2 linked regions of the Ovis aries genome follow. The protein of the gene in region 2 interacts with the protein of the main gene of each other region in a pairwise test. Links are inferred from orthologs where the notes say so. Each region holds a gene or a part of one and is shown on either strand. Other genes may lie near its edges.

The links.
Region 1: the proteins of NUMBL (region 2) and SPSB3 interact in binary tests that used the Homo sapiens proteins (3 or more experiments, as listed by UniProt). The two-hybrid records come from large-scale screens. The link is inferred for Ovis aries from reciprocal best matches to the Homo sapiens genes NUMBL and SPSB3.

What each region holds. Positions count from the first base shown.
Region 1 is NC_056077.1:1,876,762-1,879,904, reverse strand, and holds the end of SPSB3 (SPRY domain-containing SOCS box protein 3), read left to right. Parts: exon of another isoform or gene 1-923; coding exon 924-1,098; exon of another isoform or gene 1,099-1,168; coding exon 1,169-1,356; coding exon of another isoform or gene 1,357-1,438; coding exon 1,439-1,739; exon of another isoform or gene 1,740-1,828; coding exon 1,829-2,148; 3' UTR 2,149-2,584; downstream 2,585-3,143. Other genes in the region: probable crossover junction endonuclease EME2, read right to left, coding at 3,084-3,143.
Region 2 is NC_056067.1:49,380,524-49,384,270, reverse strand, and holds the start of NUMBL (numb-like protein), read left to right. Parts: upstream 1-1,287; 5' UTR 1,288-1,465; coding exon 1,466-1,489; intron 1,490-3,747. UniProt on the Homo sapiens protein: Plays a role in the process of neurogenesis. Required throughout embryonic neurogenesis to maintain neural progenitor cells, also called radial glial cells (RGCs), by allowing their daughter cells to choose progenitor over neuronal cell fate.

The DNA of each region.
Region 1 (3,143 bases), on a different chromosome or scaffold from region 2:
GGAGGGTAAGTCTGTTGACTTTGCTCTCAGGGGAGCAGAATCTCAGGTCTGAATAGGTCCACTGGACTGCTGTGCAGAGGGCATTTTGGGCCAGAGGGGCACCCAGAGGCCAGGAGAGTGAGGGCAGAGGCCTGAGCCTGACCAGGAGACCAGGCCAAGCTGGGAGAGTTCAGCGCAGGCACGTGGAAGCAGTCTGTGCCCTGGGCCCTCGCTGGCTGGCTGGGGTCTGGAGTCCAGGTGGGTGTTTGGAGGCACCCTAGCTGGCTTTCAGGGGGGTCTGGTCAGCTGGTCTCCGGAACCTGACCAGTTCAGCCTTGGCGTCTGGTGCTGGGCTGACATCGGGCCCCTAAGGCTTGGAGTCTGTCCTGTGAGGACTAAGCCCCCGTGCAGAGGGCCTGCGACCGCAGGGCTCCCTCAGCAGGGCCCTGTGATGGGGGTTGAGCTGCCCCGGGCACAGACGGGGAGCCACAGTCTGGGCCAGGTGTGCAGGCCCTGCCACGGCGATCGGGCCCCCAGAGCCCAGCTGCTGCTCCAGGGAGACCAAGCTGCCTTCGTTAGGTCAGTGATGGGCTTTGCCATGGGCTCCCCTGTGTATCCGTGACCTAGGGGCTCCTGACCTTGAGGGATGGCTGAGTGTGCAGCCCCGCCAGGGGCTGATAAGCCACCGGGCCTCCAGGGCTCTCAACTCCATTCCCAGGAAGCTTCCTCATGGTCGGCCTTTGAGGAGGAGGCCAGAAGAGGTGTCCGTGGTGGCAGCGGCTGGCTGTGTCCCGGGGCCGGGGTGGTCCCCTGGAGGCCAAGCCCCAGGTCTCTCCCTCGGGACGTCCGGCTGTTGAGCCATGGGCCTGCAGCGGGGCAGGCGGGTGGAGGGTGGCTGGGCCGGTACCGGCAGGTTGGGCGGCGACATCTCCTATGTCCTTCAGCACAGTGACTCAGACTCTGACCCTGAGTGCGCGTCCCTGCCGTCGTCCATCCCCAGCGCCGTGCCCGTGACCGGGGAGTCCTTCTGCGACTGTGAGAGCCAGAGCGAGGCCTTCTGCGGCAGCCTGCACGCCGCCCACCGGGGCCGGGACTGCCGCTGCGGCGAGGAGGACGAGTGTGAGTGCCGGGCGTGGTGGGCGGTGCTCCGGGTGGGCCGGGGCTCAGCTGGGGCCTCTCGCTCTCGCAGATTTTGACTGGGTCTGGGATGACCTGAACAAGTCCTCGGCCACCCTACTGAGCTGTGACAACCGGAAGGTCAGCTTCCACATGGAGTACAGCTGTGGCACGGCCGCCATCCGGGGCACCAAGGAGCTGGGGGAGGGCCAGCACTTCTGGGAGATCAAGATGACGTCGCCCGTCTACGGCACGGACATGGTGAGTGGCTGGTGGGGCCAGGAGGTGGGGGTGCTGCCAGGCGCCTCGGTCCCCTGCCCCCTCTGCCCGCTCCCGTTCCCAGATGGTGGGCATTGGGACGTCGGACGTGGACCTGGACAAGTACCACCACACATTCTGCAGCCTGCTCGGCCGGGACGAGGACAGCTGGGGCCTCTCCTACACAGGTGCGCAGGGCCCGGGTGGGCGGGGCTGGGGCCCCCAGGCTGTGGGGCTCAGCCCGACCCTGCTGCCCCCAGGCCTCCTCCACCACAAGGGCGACAAGACGAGCTTCTCCTCGAGGTTCGGCCAGGGCTCCATCATCGGCGTGCACCTGGACAGCTGGCACGGGACGCTGACCTTTTTCAAGAACAGGAAGTGCATAGGTGAGGCCGGGACCTATGTGGCCCCAGGGAGCAGGGCCAGAGCCCCCGGGGGGCTGAGTGCCCTGAGGCTGTTCCTCCCCCCGCCCCAGGCGTGGCGGCCACGCAGCTGCAGAACAAGAGGTTCTACCCGATGGTGTGCTCCACGGCGGCCAAGAGCAGCATGAAGGTGATCCGCTCGTGCGCCAGCGTCACCTCCCTGCAGTACCTGTGCTGCTACCGCCTGCGCCAGCTGCGGCCCGGCTCGGGGGACACGCTTGAGGGCCTGCCCCTGCCGCCCGGCCTCAAGCAGGTGCTGCACCACAAGCTGGGCTGGGTCCTGAGCATGAGCCGCCAGCCCCCCGAGCCCTCGCCCGCGGCCAGCGGCCCAGAGCCCCGGCGCTGCCAGCGGAAGCGCTGCCGAAGGACCTAGCCTGCTCCCTGATCGAGACCCCCGGGGCTGGGACGGCGTGGTCCCCGCCCCTGCCTGTGGACTGCCCCAGGGCCGCCGAGGGGAGGACCGAGCCGAGGTTTGTCCCGCTGCCCCTCTGCTGCCTGAGGCTGGGGCGGGCCTCGCCACAGGGGCTCCCAGCCGTTAGCCCTGTGACCCCAAGACCCAGCCTGTCTGCTCCGGTGCTGGGCATGAGAACAGCTGCCGCCCCAGCGCGTCTGGGTTCAGGTCTGGGGGGCTGGCAGGGAAGGGGCTGGGGGCCTATGGGCTGCTGCCTGTGAGGAGGACGCAACTTGAGAGGTGGGCTCTCCCTGGCACCACCGGCCTCACGTTTTTCTTAACTTGCTTTGCATGTTGTCAGCTCTGTTCCTCCTGTCTGGGGCTGAAAGCAACCATAATAAACTCGAAGTCTGATGTCCACCTGCCTATAGAATGAAGTGGGTCAAAGTGAGGCCTGGGGCTCACAGGTGTCCGTGCTTGTCTCCTCTTGGGGCCTCACGGTACCCTGGGGAGAGGTAGCCTGGTTCTCTCCTCCCTCTAAACCTTGTCTTAAAAATGAAGGTACTTCCCCCCCAACCTCCCGGTGATGGGAGTTTCCCCGGTGGGATCCGAGGCCCCTGCAGCCCTTCCTGCTGGTGCCAGCTGTCTACCAGCCCCTCGGCCAGTGTGCATGCTCAGGGCACGTGAGCCCCACCCCAAACCGTCTCTAGACCTTCCGCAGGCGAGAGAAGAATTTTCTTCTCCCAGTTATGCAAGATTTCTCTCTGCCGTCCCCTCATCCCCCAGCTTGGGGTCAGACCTGACTAAGCCCCGGGTTCGGGGCGCACCACCCCCTGTGGTTTCCCACGGGTCCTCTGGGAGGCTGTGTTCACTCCTGCCTGCAGGCGGGGGACGCCCTGTGCAACCCACGGGCCTGCTCAGGAGCCCAGGTCCAGCAGGAGGTCGGGGTCAGTGGTGGTCAGGAAGAGGCAGATGCG
Region 2 (3,747 bases):
CTGGGGGCCCACTTTGGATTTGGGACTAGGACACTCCCAGCTTCATACGCCCATGTCCTGCCCTCCCCACTCCAAAGGGAGCATCCGGGAATTCTACCCTGGTATTAATTTATTTCTGGAAACATTTGAGAGTCTTAGACCCCTCTGCACTGCCATCACGGAGATGCAGAGGCAGCTAGAGGGGGAGCCCCTCACCTCTGCCTCAGGTCCCCCATAGATGTCCGTGAAAGAGGAGGGGGTGGTGGTTGGTGGGGGCAGCCCTCACCTTTCCCTTGCTCACCCCTGCACCAGCTGCCTTCTCCCTGGTGGCATCCTCTCTGTGTGTTTGGGGAGGGCATGGTGGGGGGGTGAAACTTCAGACCTAATAAAAGTGACCCTCCCATTCCCCCAGTTCTTTTCTCTGCTACGGGGGATGGGGGGAGGTTGCAGGCTGCCTCCAGGTGCAGATGGCCAGCCCTCTCCCACCCTCTTGTCTGAAAGCCCCAGTCCTGCCTGGGCCATCTGTTGCCAGGAACCTCCTTCTCTCCTTTCCCTACCGCCCCCCCATCCTGCCCCTCCCGCACGTGCTGACCACCTGCTCTGAAGGCTGCAGCAGCTGAGAAGGCCTTCCTCCCCACCCCCCAGAACACATACACACACACACACCCCACCTCCCAGCCTCCTGGCTCCCTTCGCTCGCCTCCCAGCAACCTCGCTTTTTTGCTAATGGGCCTTAATGCCCCTGCCAGCTGCTTTGCCAAACCCGCAGGACTGGGCGGGAGCAGGGGCGCTTGGGCGGCCAGAAGCCGCTCCCCCGTCCCAGCCTGGTGCCCCCGCCCCCAAAGCTGAACCGACCGCGCACCAGGACGTCGGGGTCTGTTCACTCCCCTCCCCTTCCCAGCAAAAAGTGCCTCGTCACCGCTTCTGCCCGCCCCCGCTGGGCTGGGAGATCCGTGGGGTTAGCGGAAAGATTTGGGGATGTGGGGCGGCGAGGCGCCTCCCGAGGCAAATCTTTCGGACGCAGAACTTAAGGGGATCTGAGGTCAGGGGTCACGGAGGGGAAGGGAGCCCACGCCTGGATGGACCGAGAAGAACCAGTGTCCGCGAGATTCACGTGCGTGCTCAGCCCAGGACTGGCCAATGGGCGTGGCGGGGCGGTGGCCACACCGAAGAGGGCGGGGTCATATTTGCCTATAGGCAGGGCCTGCTGCTCAAGGGGCGGGGTCTCTCTGCATATCCAGCAGGCGGCGGGCCAATGGGCGGGGCTGGGGCGGGGAGCTGAAGCGGGAGGGGCGCTCCTCCGCCCCTGGAACGGAATCCTCCAGGGAGCGGAGCAGGCTACGGAGCGTGCATCCCGCACCAACCCCCGGCCCCCATCCCCGGCCCGCGTCAGACGGAGCTGCCGCCGCCGCCGCTAGAGCAGCAGCAGCACTCGGGGATCCGGGCCCAGCCGGGGCCGCGGGAGGCGGGGGCGCCCGAGCCCTGGATGTCCCGCAGCGCGGCGGCCAGAGTGAGAAGGGCGGGAGAAGGGGGCTCGGGTGGGGGGCGGCGCCGCTGCTGATGTGGCGGAGGGTGGGAGGCGGCCGCGGCACCCGGATGGAGAGGGTGCCAAGGCTGGAGAGGGTGGTCCTGGGTGGGGGGGTCCAGGAATACGCTCCGCTCCAAGCCAAATCTTGGGAGACAGAGGTCTGGGGCACAGGCCCTCTCTTGCCCAGGTTCTAAAGATAGGGATCCCAGAAAGAGATCTCCCCCTCCAAAAAAATCAAGGACAGGGGGACAGCTTCTAGGTACAACTTCCTAGGCAAGATTTTGGGGATGGGGTCTAAGACACAACCTCCTTAGGAAGCCAAGGCCTCTAGGAGGGGATTCCACACCAGACACAATCCTTACCCCTCCCTGCCTGAGGGGGTCTCTGAATACAACAACCCTCTAGGCAAGGTCTTGAGAATGGGGTCTCTGAGCACAGCTTCCCCACCAAGGCAAGGCCTGGGGGGATTCCAAGCACAGTCTGTCCCCAGGCCTCAGAGGCATCCCAGGCAGAGCATCGCCCCCACACTTGGGCGCTGTCCCAGGAACATCCCTTTCTCAAAACAAGGTCTCTGTGCCTGGGACCCCATCCCCCTCAAGTCTGAATAAAATAATGGGAATTTCAGGCAAACCCCACAAAAAAAAAAAAAGGCTTGGTCAAGGGTCCCAGGGCACAGGTCTTCTGGGCCACCCTCTTTGTCCCGGGGGCTGCCCAGCTGTCTGGGAGGGGCCCGACCCGCAGACAATCCACCGCTTCCCTCTTCAGTTCTGGCCCCCCAGGGTCCAGGATTCAGGCTGGGCCAGGGGGCGGCTCCCCAGGGACCTGGTACAGCCCTGTCTGTCTGCAGTGTCTGCCGTGCTGGTGACGGCGGCTTTGTGTGTGGTACCTGGGGGGAAGGGGGGGAAGCCAGTGATGGGGAGGTGGCTAAGAGTGTGACCCTGTGTTTTTGTGGCTGTGGCTGCCTGTGTGTGTCTGTGTGTGAGCTGCTGCTAGGGACTGTGAGGAATCGTGTGTGTGTGTTTCATGCTTGTGGTTGTGTCCGTTGGTGCCTGTGACTGTATTTGTGTATGACCCCAGCATTTGTGTGACTGTGTATGTATGTATGACAGCTGCTTGCTCCATGTGCAGAACCCTGTACTTTTCCTTCCGTCTCTGTTTGTGTGCGTAGTTGTGACTCTGGTTGTATCTTTGATGACATCTTTTGTGACCCTCACATATGTACCTTGGTAACTCTAACTGGGTATGTGACAGTATATCCGTTGAGTCTGGGGTTGGGCATGTGTATGGCTGACTGAAGATGTGGGTGGAGTTGTGACTGTAAGTGGAGTTGTGTCTATGACTCTGTCCATGTGCGGCTGTTCTAATGACTTCTGGTCTTTGTGGTTGTGTCTCTAGCTGATTTTATATGTGTGTCACACATGTGTTTGTGTGACATAACTGCCTGCAGTTTTGGGTGGATGACTGCCTTTGTATATGAAGTCACATTGTGCTTATGTGATAGGTTGTGTGCTGGCTGTGACTTATGTGTTTCTGTTCATAACCACATATATGCATGTGATCAGGGCTGTATAAATGACTACATTTAGGTCTGTGTGTTGATACTGATGGATTCCGCGCATTTGTAGCTGTGTATGTGTGATTCGGGTTATGTGTTTGACTTAAGAGTCTGAAACTCTATTAATAGTGAGTTATTTAATTGCATGTGACTCAGCCTATAGGTGTGTCTATGTGCCGGCCCCAGGTGATGGCGTGTGTTTGTGGGGTTGTGTGTATGAGACTGTGACTTCTGTATCTGTGTGTGGCCTGCATGTCTGTGACCCTGGGTGACTCTGCGTGTCTGTGTCTGTGTCACGGTCTGTAAGATTGTGGTCTGCTACACATCGTGTAGCAATGTGGCTGTTTGGGGTGGGTGCGTGTGTGTCCCTGCAGGCGTGCTAGGCTGCTTTGTTGAAGTTGCATGATTTGGTGACAGAGTGAATGTCTCCTGACAGCATACACGTCTCGATCCGGAACCATGTCTTCCGTGTAAATGTAGCTGTAAGTATTCCATCTAGGTGTGTGAAATGGAAATTGCATGCTGATGTTTCTGTGTGTGAGATATAGTGTGTCTGTCCACATGGGCTGTGATTATACATGGCCCTATACTTATCTGTGTGACTTCCGTGTTTGCAGGAAGAGAGACTGTTTTTCTGGGATGATGTGACAGTACAGCTGGGAGTCGGTGGATAACTGCAGTAGAT